Mus musculus: one gene and its partner. The protein of the gene in region 1 interacts with the protein of each later gene in a biochemical or structural test. Links are inferred from orthologs where the notes say so. Each region holds a gene or a part of one and is shown in the gene's direction. Other genes may lie near its edges.

Evidence for each region.
Region 2: the proteins of Lrp1 (region 1) and Apoe form a complex in vitro, tested with the Homo sapiens proteins (2 studies listed by IntAct, with this or other methods). The link is inferred for Mus musculus from reciprocal best matches to the Homo sapiens genes LRP1 and APOE.

Annotation. Positions count from the first base shown.
Region 1 is NC_000076.6:127,556,181-127,564,417, reverse strand, and holds part of Lrp1 (prolow-density lipoprotein receptor-related protein 1 precursor), read left to right. Parts: intron 1-624; coding exon 625-814; intron 815-3,758; coding exon 3,759-3,963; intron 3,964-4,257; coding exon 4,258-4,450; intron 4,451-5,195; coding exon 5,196-5,321; intron 5,322-5,458; coding exon 5,459-5,587; intron 5,588-5,762; coding exon 5,763-5,882; intron 5,883-6,230; coding exon 6,231-6,344; intron 6,345-6,856; coding exon 6,857-7,006; intron 7,007-7,101; coding exon 7,102-7,224; intron 7,225-7,417; coding exon 7,418-7,534; intron 7,535-7,681; coding exon 7,682-7,810; intron 7,811-8,085; coding exon 8,086-8,208; intron 8,209-8,237. UniProt on the Homo sapiens protein: Endocytic receptor involved in endocytosis and in phagocytosis of apoptotic cells. Required for early embryonic development. Involved in cellular lipid homeostasis.
Region 2 is NC_000073.6:19,694,296-19,701,056, reverse strand, and holds Apoe (apolipoprotein E precursor), read left to right. Parts: upstream 1-1,868; 5' UTR 1,869-2,046; intron 2,047-2,435; exon of another isoform or gene 2,436-2,533; intron 2,534-2,583; exon of another isoform or gene 2,584-2,653; intron 2,654-2,658; exon of another isoform or gene 2,659-2,803; 5' UTR 2,804-2,826; coding exon 2,827-2,869; intron 2,870-3,409; coding exon 3,410-3,578; intron 3,579-3,953; coding exon 3,954-4,677; 3' UTR 4,678-4,813; downstream 4,814-6,761. UniProt on the Homo sapiens protein: APOE is an apolipoprotein, a protein associating with lipid particles, that mainly functions in lipoprotein-mediated lipid transport between organs via the plasma and interstitial fluids.

The DNA of each region.
Region 1 (8,237 bases):
GAGCCTCCGCTGGCTGCTGCTCACAGCACTGTTCAGCTCTGTCTTTTTAGTTACATCTGCTTTATAAAACATTCCAGCTCAGCCCAGCGTGATGGCGCACGCCTTCAATCCCAGCACTTGGGAGGCAGAGGCAGGTGTATTTCTAAGTTTGAGGCCAGCCTGGTCTACAGAGTGAGTTCAGGACAGCCAGGGCCACACAGAGAAACCCTGTCTCGACCACCCCATGCTCCCCCTCCCCCCAAAAAATTCCAGTTCAAGGCCTCTGCAAGCAGGAAGCTTTCCAGTCTGGCCCCAGAGGAATAGTAGAATTCAGTTAGCCGGAATCTCCCCCATACATGAATAAACAGAACTCCACTTCTGAAGAGTGTGACCACACATAGGCCGGGAGTGGGGGGTGGGCAAGAGAAGAGGAAGGAAGGTGCCACGGATCATGACGCAGGTGGTGTGACGTGGCTCTGTGAGGGGCCCTGGGGCCCTGGCAAGTCTGACCAAAGAGCCCTCGGAGGAACTCCCGGTTCCCACAATTCCAGGGGAGCCAGTCATGCCCTTAGCACCTACCAGGCTGCCCCTCTGCTTCTGCTGGTTGGCCCTTCTCAACCCACAGCTGTTCCTGTCTCTTCACAGATGTGGGCTCTGTGGAAGGCCTGGCCTATCACCGTGGCTGGGACACACTGTACTGGACAAGCTACACCACATCCACCATCACCCGCCACACCGTGGACCAGACTCGCCCAGGGGCCTTCGAGAGGGAGACAGTCATCACCATGTCCGGAGACGACCACCCGAGAGCCTTTGTGCTGGATGAGTGCCAGAAGTGAGCTGCTGGGCCTGGGGGGTGGGAGCTATGTCATACGGGAACAGAAAGGGGACAGGCAGGGCCCACCATTTCTGGCCTCAGTGAGATGCATCACCTCTCAGGGCGCTGCTTAATACAAGTGTCAGAAATGAAGGGAGGTTGAGGGCCGTGGGAGATGCCTCTGGCTTTGTGACTGGCATTCATCACACAGTACCGTGGGACTCAAAGCTTCAGCGAAGGCTCACTGACCTTGAGGATATGGGCTGGGCCTGTTCAAACCCCTTGCTGAGCAGAGGTCTTATTACAGTGACCAAGAGGCATTGTGAAGGCAGTTGTGAGCACAAGGCCCCAAAGTGAGAAAAGCAAGAAAAGGTCAAACAGGACAGCAACGGGACTGCCCACCATTTGGGCAAGGCTAGCCTGAGCAGGCAGGGAGTCTGGTCTACCTGTCCTGCCTACCCTGTCTTTCTTCATTTTGATGTGCAGGTTACTAGTGAGTCACACCCTCTGCATAGCAGTCCTGGCTCACGTCTGAGCGACCTGCCCTCCCCAGTTCAGCTGGAATCAGAATGCTTTCTATCAGCCTCACTAGGAAACTAAAGCAATGCCACAGCCTTGGTGACCTCACCTGTCTGGGCTGGTCCTGGGGCCTGTCCTTCCTGGGCCTAGAGCCTCTGGGGAGGGGCTGTCATGATATTTTTCTGCCATTCTAAAAGAGGCATCCTCGGTTTCAACCAAGTCCCTCCTGGCTGAGCCCAGGAAAGTGCTCTCTCTTTCTCTCTCTCTCTCTAGAGCCCCAGAGCCAGTGGCTTCAAAAAAACCCAAGTACACAGAGAATGGACTGGTTGGCAGAGGGTGGAGGATTTCATGACTGCCAAAGACCTGCCCTGTGGAAGTCTGGGAGAATGTCATCAGGGAGGCAGCTCAGGGGTGACTAGAGGGCTGAGATTGTCTTAGGTTAGGGGAGAGAGCTGGAAGGAGCCAGTATGTCAGGATAGTGGTTCAGCCAGCCAGCCATACTCCTCCTGATCCTCACTGAAGCATTAGTGTCCTTGGAAATCAGATAGTTGGACAGGTAGAACGTCCACTGTATTTCTAGTTGCTGACCCTCTGCCCCAAGGAAGCCTCCCCTCCCCCACCCCACCATCCCACAAAGCAGCTTTGCCAAACTCTTAACTCAGGGTACATCCCATGTAAGTCAATTTGGTGCTCCGCTGTGAGTGTGGTCTAGGCTGGACTTGAGAGTGTGGAAATCACTGTAAAGCCAGGCTGCACAAGCCAGGAAACAGCACTCGGGCCAGGCAAGGTGGTCCATGACTATAATCTCAGCACTGGGGAGGTGGATGTAGGAACGGTGGGAGTTGAGGTCATTAAGCTATGTAACTAGTTGAAGGGTAGCCTGGGATACAACAGGCCCTATCTGAAGAAGGGAGAGAGAGAGAGAGAAAGCATGCTACAGCTGCTGCCCCAGGACAGGCTGAATGGGTCGCCACCTCCATCCATAAAGAGTCCTGTGTGTGGTGTGATGCATTGGGGAAGCAGAGCAGGCAGATCTCTTGAGTTCAGGGGTAGCCTGGTCTACTGAGACAGTGCCAAGACAGTCAGAGCTACAGGAAACTCGGTCTCATAAACAACAACAGGCCGATCCTGTCCCTGAGGAATGGGTCTCCAGGGCCTCAAAGAGGGAGGCAAGCGTTACGCTGTGGTTGAGCTGGAATGTAGCTCATCTGGCAGACGGTTAGCCTGGCACACGTATGGCAGCATGTTCCCGTAATCCTAGCACTTGGAAAGTGGAGGCAGGAGGATCAGGAGGTAAAGAACCTCAAGCCCAGGCTGGTGATCCTAGAGAGAGAAGAGAACGAAGGGGGTAAACAGACAAGTTACAAGTTCAAGTTCAAACAGACAAGTTACAAGTTCATCAGTGAGGTCAGAGAAGGGAGGGGCTGAGGCACGGTGGCCAGGTCTATTCTGAAACTGTTTCTGTTTTCTTTGCTGCATCTCAAAGGAACATGTGCAAAGGGTTCACCACCCCAGGTCAAGTGAATGAATCAAGCTGTCCAAGGGCGACCCTGCTGCCGCTGTGCTGTGCTTGATCCTCCCCACCCCACACCCAGGCCCTTAGCACCACTCCACAAACAGTGGGGCATGGCTTGGCCTTAAGTTCACATGTCCTTATGTTGTGAAGAAAACTTTTTTTGTTTTTTTTTTTTAAGATTGATTTATTATGTATACAGTGTTCTGCCTGCATGTATGCATGCAGGCCAGAAGAGGGCACCAGATCTCATTGTAGATGGCTATGAGACACCATGTGGTTGCTGGGAATTGAACTCAGGGCCCTTGGAAGAGCAGCCAATGCTCTTAACCTCTGAGTCATCTCTTCAGCCCCAGAAAACTATTTTTGAGGGTACAATCCATATGTGCCCAAGGAAATAGTCAATACTTAGCAAGAGTTTCCTGGGTAGTTTGTTAAAGAGCCAGCTTTGATACAGAGAAAGCAGTTAGCAGTAAATACATGGAAAACTCTCATTGAGATGAATACACAGTACTTAGTTTTTACAACCTCTGCAGCAATATTATCCCCCACTAAATAATAGAAAAATAGGTCAGTCAGAGTGGTCGGGCAAGTTGCCTAAAGTAGGCAACCTACTACTCCCCCCCCCCCCCCCCCCCAGCCTACCTGGCTGGAAAGTGGTGGAGCCAGGACTTGGGGCTGGGAGCTGACTCGCTTGGCCACACAGCCTCCAGTCTCAGCAAATGCAGATGGTCCCTTCCCATACTGCAGTACGTGACTGTGGGCACACACAGTCAGATCTAGCCACATAGTGCAGTAACTCAGTGCCTTGGCTGGGCTAGTCTCAGGCACCGAGGCTATGTTGGCTTTCGTGGCTCTCGGGTTGTGAGGCTCATCCTGGGTTCTAGTTGACTCCTTAGGTTCCTGATCCCTTTGCCCGTTTCCCATCAGCCTGATGTTCTGGACCAATTGGAACGAGCTCCATCCAAGCATCATGCGGGCAGCCCTATCCGGAGCCAACGTCCTGACCCTCATTGAGAAGGACATCCGCACGCCCAATGGGTTGGCCATCGACCACCGGGCGGAGAAGCTGTACTTCTCGGATGCCACCTTGGACAAGATCGAGCGCTGCGAGTACGACGGCTCCCACCGCTATGTGAGTGTAGGGGTGGGTGGGTGGGTGGGTGGGTGGGGATGTGGAGGGAACCAAGTCAGGGCAGAGCACCAGACAGGGAGACCCAGGACACGGTGAGAGGTCCCATTCGAGTCCTTAACTGTGGGTAGCCTTTGCCCTGCGTGGTTCTGACAACACTTAGAAAAGAGAGAAGACGAAGCCAGATCCTTCCCAGACGGTCTGTGACTTCCCACGGCCCTCTTGCCTCCCCTCACTGTGCTGTTAAGACCGATGAGGGGCTCGAATGCAGAGACGCTGGTGCTTCTGTCTCATCAGGTGATCCTAAAGTCGGAGCCCGTCCACCCCTTTGGGTTGGCGGTGTACGGAGAGCACATTTTCTGGACTGACTGGGTGCGGCGGGCTGTGCAGCGAGCCAACAAGTATGTGGGCAGCGACATGAAGCTGCTTCGGGTGGACATTCCCCAGCAACCCATGGGCATCATCGCCGTGGCCAACGACACCAACAGCTGTGAGTGGGGCTACCACCCGCAGTGCTCTCCTGATCTCTGCCTGCACACATGTGCACACGACAGTCTTGTCTCTCCTGTTCCCTGTGACTGCACACATGTGCACATGACAGTCTTGTCTCTCCTGATCTCTGTGACTGCATAATACATATATGATAGTCTTGTCTCTCCCAGGATTTCTTCTGTACAGACAAATACCTTTACATACCTTTGGCACCCAGAAACTCCTAAGGCCCCAACATTTCTCAAACCCAACTCCCTCAAGACACCTGTGTACATACATGGACTTGATATACTCAGGTCCATCTCATGCAAAACTGCATGCGCTCACGCACACGCACACACACATGCACACATGCACATGCATTCGTACTGTTCATGACCCTAGGCTCGTCCCCATCCCAGGAGATCCTATCACTCAGCCTAATAATTCCATCTACCCAGAGCCACCTACACCCTAAACCTTACCTTATACCCACATACCAGGTGTAGCCTATCATCCCCTCCCCCAGCCTGCACATAGACATACATACCTACACCTGGCCCTCTCTTGTGTGTGTGTGTGTGTGTGTGTGTGTGTGTGCAGTGTCCACATGCCACCCCATGCGAGGTTCTCCCCGCTGTTGTGAACCCCCATGGCTGCTGGGGTCGTGCAGAGCTCTGGAATGTTAGGTGGGCAATTTGGGAGTGTACAGGGCCAGGGAACCCTCTTCAGCTTTCGGTCCCCCCACTCCCACCCCTGCTCAGGTGAACTCTCCCCCTGCCGTATCAACAATGGAGGCTGCCAGGATCTGTGTCTGCTCACCCACCAAGGCCACGTCAACTGTTCCTGTCGAGGGGGCCGGATCCTCCAGGAGGACTTCACCTGCCGGGGTGAGGAAGCAAGTTGGAGCTGGGACAGGGGCTGCTGTGGGGTGTCAGCACAAGAGACCCTTATTCCAGACTCCAGCCCAGGCTACAAGGCTGGACTCAGGCTAGGTCGCAACTCATGACACCTTCTCCCTCCGCAGCTGTGAACTCCTCTTGTCGGGCACAAGATGAGTTTGAGTGTGCCAATGGGGAATGTATCAGCTTCAGCCTCACCTGTGATGGCGTCTCCCACTGCAAGGACAAGTCCGATGAGAAGCCCTCCTACTGCAGTAAGGGCCCTGCTCCAGCCCCTCCCCCAGTCCCCTGTGCCATGTGACCCAGCTCCATAGCCTCAGCTCATGAAGAGCAGAGCTTGGACCTTAGGAAGGGACGGTCATTGGTGGGGAGGGGGGAAAGAAGCCCCTTCCTATGCCTGCTGTGACCACGCACACCCTCCCCTCACAGACTCACGCCGCTGCAAGAAGACTTTCCGCCAGTGTAACAATGGTCGCTGTGTATCCAACATGCTGTGGTGCAATGGGGTGGATGACTGTGGGGATGGCTCTGATGAGATTCCTTGCAACAGTGAGTACATCCCAGCCTCACCCCCAGTACCCTGCCACACCCCTGCCTTACCCCTACCTCACCACAGCCATCTGCCTCACCCTAGCCTCCTGCCTCACCACAGCCATCTGCCTCATCACTGCCTCCTGCCTCACCCCTGCCTCATCCCAGCTTCATCCTAGCCTCCTGCCTTACCCCTGCTTCACCCCTGCCCTCACCCCTGGTTTTTAGTCTCAGACTGTACCCCGTCCTCACTCCGGCTGAGCATTTGTCCCCAGGCACTCTGAGGACAGGCGAGAACTCTGTCCTGGGCCTTTCTGGCCCTGCAGAGGGACACTGGCCTGATGGTACTGGTGGGCCCTGTTCTAGAGACTGCCTGTGGTGTGGGTGAGTTCCGCTGCCGGGATGGGTCCTGCATCGGGAACTCCAGTCGCTGCAACCAGTTTGTGGATTGTGAGGATGCCTCGGATGAGATGAATTGCAGTGAGTAACAGCCTGCTCATGACTGACAGCTGGCCCATGACTGATGGCCTACTCATGACTGACAGTCTGCTCATGACTGACAGTTGGCCCATGACTGACAGCCTGCCCATGATTGACAGTTGGCACATGACTGACAGCCTGCCCATGACTGACAGCTGGCCCATGACTGACAGCCTGCTCCTGCCTACTTTCCTGTCCCTCCTGCCTCAGGCTGTTCTGCCTTATTTCCTCTCAGCCCCCCTGGCCCCAAATAGTAGCCTCTATCCTCTCTGACCTTGCTTTTTCTCCCTCCATAGAGGTAGTGAGTCAGTGGGCAGCAGGCACCAAATCTGAAACCATAAGTCTAACATGGGGCCAGCAATTGCTCCCATAGTGTGTCTTAGAAGGAGCTAGGTGTGACCCCTCACCCACCCTCACCACCCCTTCTATTCCATCTTCCACATTGGCCCCTAGGTGGCGCCCTGCCCTTCCTCTTCTCTCGTGACCCCACTGACCCACCCTCCCTCCACCAGGTACCACAGACTGCAGCAGCTATTTCCGCCTGGGCGTGAAAGGTGTCCTCTTCCAGCCGTGCGAGCGGACATCCCTGTGCTACGCACCTAGCTGGGTGTGTGATGGCGCCAACGACTGTGGAGACTACAGCGATGAACGTGACTGTCCAGGTTGGCCAGCGGAAGCTCGCCGGGTGAACGGGAGACCCGGGGCTGGCAGTGTCTTCATGGCTGGCAGAGTCTTCACATCTCCCTTCTACCCCCAGGTGTGAAGCGCCCTAGGTGCCCGCTCAATTACTTTGCCTGCCCCAGCGGGCGCTGTATCCCCATGAGCTGGACGTGTGACAAGGAGGATGACTGTGAGAACGGCGAGGACGAGACCCACTGCAGTGAGTGCCCTGGGACCCTACCCAGCTCCCACCTCACAGTCCTTATGGAAAGCGCCCTACACGGGGAGACACCTGGGTTCCACTGTGTCTCATCCTCTCAGACTCCAGAATAGAGTCACTTCTTCAGTTTGTGATGAGTCGCTCACCTGCCCTGCCTTTCCTTGTCTTCTTATTACTTTCTCCTCTATTCCAGACAAGTTCTGCTCAGAGGCACAGTTCGAGTGCCAGAACCACCGGTGTATCTCCAAGCAGTGGCTGTGTGACGGTAGCGATGATTGCGGGGATGGCTCCGATGAGGCAGCTCACTGTGGTAAGCAGTGGCCTGAATCCGGTTCAGGGCGGTCAGTGTCCTACCCCCTAAAGAAGGGTCCATATACCAGTGGGCCATGTTATCACGGCTGCCTGCTCTGCCCTGTCCCCTCCTGAGTCTCTCTGTGTCTCCTTGCCCCTCATGCAGAAGGCAAGACATGTGGCCCCTCCTCCTTCTCCTGTCCCGGCACCCACGTGTGTGTCCCTGAGCGCTGGCTCTGTGATGGCGACAAGGACTGTACCGATGGCGCGGATGAGAGTGTCACTGCTGGCTGCCGTGAGTGGGAGAGGCCGTGAGGAATGGGTGGGCATCAAGCCTCGCAGCCTTGCTTTGCAAACACTGGCAAATGAGGTCAAGGGTAGGAAGAACTTCAGTGGGAGCCGTGCGTTTAAGGAGATCACAGATCCAGACCCCTCCCATTCTGCCCATTGCTACCACTCATGTTGCAGGAAACTTAGGATTGGGGGTGGGGGAGTGACTATCAACAGCTAGTAAGTAGGGCAGGGCAGGAGTAGGGCAGGCCTGAGGAGGGACTCTGCCTCCATCCCCAGTGTACAACAGCACCTGTGATGACCGTGAGTTCATGTGCCAGAACCGCTTGTGTATTCCCAAGCATTTCGTGTGCGACCATGACCGTGACTGTGCTGATGGCTCTGATGAATCCCCTGAGTGTGGTGAGTCCCGTGACTGGAGGAGTAGCCCT
Region 2 (6,761 bases), on another chromosome or scaffold:
GCAGGGAGACGGGGCTCAGGAGCCTCCCTGTCCCAAAACGGGCTGAGGTGGTAGCTTGTGCTGACTTTCTCCCAGTGGGAAGGTCAGAGGTCTCAGAAACTTCAGGAAGAAACGGAGTTCCTGGAAGTTCAGCACAATAAGGAAAGTTACTCTGGGAGGAACGGGCCCTAGCACCTTCCCAGGCTGAAACAGGAAATGTCAAGTTGTTTTGTTTTTTAAATTTTGTTGAAGATGTAGCTCTGGGCCTCACGTGTCAGGCAGGTGCTGCTGGGTTCCCTATAGTGCTTTTCCGTGAGGCCTGCTCTGGGGTGTGCGATAAGGGCCTCAGATTGGGCTCTGCATCTCACTGCTGCACCTCATGGCATCCCAAGGGAAGCAAAGACTCACGATGAACTGGTCAGTGTCCTAGACCGCAGCACTAAGACCCTCTCTACTGCCTGGGCTGGAGATGGGAGCTGGCCCTTAGCAACCCATGAAAATCATCTCACCACACCCAGTCCTTGCCAGTGTTTTCTGAAGCCAAAGCTAACAGGCCTGGGCCTGGCCAGGCACCCTGTACGTACCCTTGGAGCCAGGTGTTCCGCCTCTGCCCATCCTGCAGAATCATGTTTTGCCGTGTCTGGTGCCAAACACTGCTATGTGGCTTCTCTCCTGCCATCAACAGCTGGGAACAGGGAACCTTGTGCAGGCAGTGCTTCTAGCAAGCTTGCTGTGGTCTCTGAGCCCCTTGTCCTACCTGACTTCCCAGGTACAATGGCTTTCCCACTTTTTGGGGGTTTTGTTGTTGTTGGGTTTTTTTTTGTTTTTCAAGACAGGGTTTCTCTGTGTAGTCCTGTCGGTCCTGGAACTCACTTTGTAGACCAGGCTGGCCTCCAACTCAGAAATTCACCTGCCTCTGCCTCCAAGTGCTGGGATTATGGGATTAAAGGCATGTGCCACCACGCCCAGCTGGCTTTTCCACTTTTTAGCCAGGACTTCATTCTATTACCTGAGCTCGGGATCTTCCTGCCTCAGCTTTGCATATGGCTAGCACTATAGACCCATGTTCCAGTGAATGACTTATGGCTTGTCTTTTTTTTTTTTTTTTTTTTTTTTTATGTGCATTAGTGTTTTGCCTGCATGTATGCCTTCGTGAGGGTAGCAGATCTTGGTGTTACAGTTGTGAGCTGCTGTGTGGGTGCTGCGATTTTGAACCTAGGTCCTGTGAAATGCAGTCAGTGCTCCTAACCTCTGAGTCATCTCTCCAGCTCCTGCTCTTCTGCTTTTATGAGGAAAAAGAAAAGAGAAGTGGCTTGAGAGTGGAAAATGCACATGCAGGGGTGCACACCTGCAGTCCCAGCATGCTACAGCAGAGGCAGAAGGACCTTTGTGGGTTAGAGGGCAGCCTGAGAATCTTATCTCAAAACAACTTTTTAAAATGTGCTCTGTAGGGGTAGCTCTTCCCTCCCAAGGTGACACATCTGGCAATCGCCAGAAACAGATCAGGAGCATCAACGCTTGGTTTCCCAGGGCTTGGCTTAATGTATGGCTTCAAACCCATCGGGAGCCACCACTGAACAGCTCCTGAAGGAACTGGAGCACGTCCCAGCCTTGGAATGGAAAGAGTTCACCTGTGGTGGAGGAATCAACAACGAGGGATCCCAGAACAACGATCTTCACCCCAGAAGCTGAGCCTCTTAGCCCCCACCCACCCATTTCCATTTAGGCTGCCAGCTCTTTTCTTTACAATGCACCAGACCCCGCGGGGAAAGGGAAGGAGCGGTTCTCAGTGCCCCAGTACCAAGGCCTGGATTATTCAATGAGGTGTCCGCTCCCTTTGTTGGCGGGGGAGGGGAGCGGGGGGTCACAAGGCATCCAAACTCCACCTCTTTCCTCTGCCCTGCTGTGAAGGGGGAGAGAACAACCCGCCTCGTGACAGGGGGCTGGCACAGCCCGCCCTAGCCCTGAGGAGGGGGCGGGACAGGGGGAGTCCTATAATTGGACCGGTCTGGGATCCGATCCCCTGCTCAGACCCTGGAGGCTAAGGACTTGTTTCGGAAGGAGCTGGTAAGACAAGCTGGGCTGGGGATTCACCCAGGGACCTTGGTAGGATGTGGGCTGGGAACCTTGAGATCCCCCGGAGTCCAGGAAACAGGCACAAGAATTGGAAAAGCAGGCAGCACGATAGAAGTCTTGGGGGACAAACTAAGGACTCGAGGTAACTAGCCTTTGCCAGAGTCAGAGCAGGTGGAGGGGTTACCTCCAGGAAGGAGTACGGGACTGTCGGTGCACGGCGTACCGGCTCAACTAGGAACCATCCTATGGCGAAAAAACTCGGGATGAGCCTTAGGCTGCTTTTATATAAATACCTACTGATTTCCATCACAGTCCCCAAGTAACCCGGACTGGTTTCAAACTGTGGCTCCTCATGGCTGAGCTCCCTAAGTTCTGTAGTTGTGGGAGGGTACCACTTCGCAGGGATGGAGGACGATTAAAAATCGTGTTAAATTAACACAAAATGGAAAGCAGGACTTAGCCGGGAAGAAAGAGGAATGTAAGCTGGACCACCCGCTGGCCCTCTGTGAAGTGGAATTTGAACCCTAGGAGAGGGAGCTGGAATTTTTGGCAGCGGATCCACCCCGGGGTGCCGAGATAGCGAACTCGGCAAGGGGAGGTAAACAGACCTTTGGGAAGAGCGGGTGCTCTGTTTTGGAGATGTTTGTGATGGCTCACAGATCTGAGAAGGGAAGATGGGGTTCTCTGGGTGGCCGGAGTCCCTCCACCCCCGCCCCCTGGTGTTCAAAGACAATTTTTCCCTCCGCAGACTGGCCAATCACAATTGCGAAGATGAAGGCTCTGTGGGCCGTGCTGTTGGTCACATTGCTGACAGGTATGGAGCAAGGACTTGCTGTGGTGCCGCTTTTTCTGCTCCTCTGTGGACTCTATTCTAGCCCTAGATCTCTTCTGCTGGTGGGTTGAGGCTGAGGCGGTTCTGAGACCTCTCTGAGATTCAATAGCCCTGAGCAGCTGTTTTATATACTCTTTAGGCCTTGATTTCCCCTAACTATAAGAGGATTGATGGCTTAGTGGGTAAAGGTGCTTATCATAAAGCTTGAAGACTTAACTCTGAGACCAACATAGTGGAAGGAGAGAGCCAATTCCCTCTAGAACTCTGACCTCCAAGGGTACACACACACACACACACACACACACACACACACACAATAAAAAGTTGATTTCTTAGTTGCTCTTAAAAGTGGGGTATACATTTTCTAATTCCACACCTGCCTAGTCTCGGCTCTGAACTACATAGGATACAAGACAGTGCATGCTTGTAGTATCTAAACAGACTCCACAGCCTCCAGACCCACTTCAAAGAGACCCAAAAAGACTGTAGGTCCTGACCCAGCCTTAAACTTACTCTACACAGGATGCCTAGCCGAGGGAGAGCCGGAGGTGACAGATCAGCTCGAGTGGCAAAGCAACCAACCCTGGGAGCAGGCCCTGAACCGCTTCTGGGATTACCTGCGCTGGGTGCAGACGCTGTCTGACCAGGTCCAGGAAGAGCTGCAGAGCTCCCAAGTCACACAAGAACTGACGTGAGTGTCCAGCTCTTTCACCCTCGGCAGGCACCAGCTGATCCAGGGTTGCCTCCTATCTGGGTCCCCAGCCCCTTCTTGTTTCCTTTCTCAATTAGTGTGTAGCCCAGGTTGGCCTTGAATCCTCCTGCCTTCTTTAGCCTTCTGGATGCTGGGAGGAACAGACATTTATTACTTGCTTGGTCGATTGGCTTTTGGCTTCTTGAGACAGGATCCCATTCTGTAACTCAAGCTGGCTTCGAAGGCTCTGCAATTCTTATGCCGCAGCTTCTCAACTTCTGGGAACACAAGCGAGTACCATCACCTCTTGCTCTGTGGTTTCTGGCCCTTCTGTCCTGCCTTCATCTCCTTCCTGTGTTTCCTCTGGGCCTGCAGGGCACTGATGGAGGACACTATGACGGAAGTAAAGGCTTACAAAAAGGAGCTGGAGGAACAGCTGGGTCCAGTGGCGGAGGAGACACGGGCCAGGCTGGGCAAAGAGGTGCAGGCGGCACAGGCCCGACTCGGAGCCGACATGGAGGATCTACGCAACCGACTCGGGCAGTACCGCAACGAGGTGCACACCATGCTGGGCCAGAGCACAGAGGAGATACGGGCGCGGCTCTCCACACACCTGCGCAAGATGCGCAAGCGCTTGATGCGGGATGCCGAGGATCTGCAGAAGCGCCTAGCTGTGTACAAGGCAGGGGCACGCGAGGGCGCCGAGCGCGGTGTGAGTGCCATCCGTGAGCGCCTGGGGCCTCTGGTGGAGCAAGGTCGCCAGCGCACTGCCAACCTAGGCGCTGGGGCCGCCCAGCCTCTGCGCGATCGCGCCCAGGCTTTTGGTGACCGCATCCGAGGGCGGCTGGAGGAAGTGGGCAACCAGGCCCGTGACCGCCTAGAGGAGGTGCGTGAGCACATGGAGGAGGTGCGCTCCAAGATGGAGGAACAGACCCAGCAAATACGCCTGCAGGCGGAGATCTTCCAGGCCCGCCTCAAGGGCTGGTTCGAGCCAATAGTGGAAGACATGCATCGCCAGTGGGCAAACCTGATGGAGAAGATACAGGCCTCTGTGGCTACCAACCCCATCATCACCCCAGTGGCCCAGGAGAATCAATGAGTATCCTTCTCCTGTCCTGCAACAACATCCATATCCAGCCAGGTGGCCCTGTCTCAAGCACCTCTCTGGCCCTCTGGTGGCCCTTGCTTAATAAAGATTCTCCGAGCACATTCTGAGTCTCTGTGAGTGATTCCAATCAGCTTCAGCCTCAGTTTATTGTTTTTTGCCTTACCTAGCACACATTCCATGGCCCTGTCACTATCTGTAGAGGGAGGTGGTTTTGCAGCAATAGAAATGAAGCCTAGGACCTAGCAACATAAAAGAACAAGTGATCTACCACTGAGCCACGCCCACAGCCCCTCACTGGGGGATTCTAGGCAGGGGCTCTACCACTGAGCCACCCGCAGCCCCTCACTGGGGAATCATATCTACCACTGAGTCACGCCCCTCCAGCCCCTCACTACGGGAATTCTAGTCAGTAGCTCTACCACTGAGCCACACCCACAGCCTCTGGGGCTCTTCACCGCCCCCTACCCCTGGATTCTAGGCATGGGCTCATTTTATTTATTTATTTATTTAAGATTTGTTTATCTTATGTATAAGGTACACTGCAGCTGTCTTCAGGCGTCAGGTCCCATTACAGATGGTTGTGAGCCACCATGTGGTTGCTGGGAATTGAACTCAGGACTTATAGAAGAGTAGTCAGTGCTCTTAACTGCTGAGCCATCTCTCCAGCACCCAGTACAGGCTCTTCTATTTAGCTATATCCACCCTTCTTTTTAGTCTGAAATAGGATCTCAACTGATTTTCCTTGCACTCCCTCTAGCCTAGTTTGGTCTTGAATATTTGAATCTTTGTTTTCAAATCAATCTCTACAGGAACTGAGAAAGGCATGTACCACTTCATGTGGGTCAGTTGGGCTACTTTTCCCAACTTCCCAAGCACCCACTGCACAGCTATGCCTTGAATCAATCAACATGTAAGAGACCAGGGTCGCCAGGCGGTGTTTACTTTTCTGGTTGTCTTATCTCTCCTCCTCCGCTCTAGTCTTATCTGACACCCTCTCCTTGCCTTGTCTCTCCTCTTTTTCCCTTCTAGGCTTCCTTTTCTGGCTTCCTGTTTTCCTGATCCTCTGTTATCTCACCCTCCCGCGGTTTCTTTTGCTCTGGGCCTTTGGTTGGCGGTTTCTACGGTTTCTACGTGGCTTTTGGAACCTCAGCCTTTCTCCCTTGCTCTGAAGTTAGCTGGATCTTTGCTCCCTCTGGGTCATGGGGCCTTAGCCCCATTCTTTCTCCCCTGCCTGTGCTGCATGCCTTTTGACTTTCCCAGCAAGTGTATGGAGAGTGAGTTCAGGCTGGGGACACAAAACCATTCTCCCCATGTCCTGGTACTCAAAGGGGTCATGGTGGAAGCTGGAGAGCCCCTGGCTGGCTTCTCCTCCCACCCCCTCAGTTCTCAGGGACTCAGCAGGGCTCCCACTAACAGGGGCAGGCTAGGGCTTGAGCTGTGTCTTGGGTCGGGCCAAGGCTTCAGAACTCAACTGCCTCTGGCACACCCCGAGCCTGCAGCTTTTCCTGGCATCAAACTCAGCATTATCTGGAGGCAGGCACCACTCCCACACATGACTCATTAGGCCCAATGAGAAGATGGGTCGGTGGGCTAGTGACAGGGCCCTAGACAGCCACACTTCATGCCCAGGGGCTAGGAGCACACCCCCAGAGCCTCACTACTCTCAAATATCAAGATGAGGGGAGAGTATAGAGGGAATGTCTCCCTCTGAAGACCTGAATTATTGTGATGTTATTTGAGCCACGCTGGCCTTGAACTCTGAACCCTCCTGCCTCATCTTCAAAGGCTGGAATTACAGGTTCGCGCCACTAGGCCTATCTGAGAACTTAGTTAATTCTACAGAAGAGAGTTTGTTTTCACTGGTTTGAAACGAGGCCTCGTGTACCCAGAGCTACTCTTTTGCCAACTCACTGTAGAGCCAAGGATGACCTTGAACTCTGGTCTTCCTGGCTCCGAGTCCTCGGTACTGGGTAGACAATGTGTGATCCTAACCCCCAGTTTTATGTGGTGCTATACAGATGGCATCCAGGGTTTCCTGCATGCTGGACAGGTCATCAACCAACCGAGCCACATCC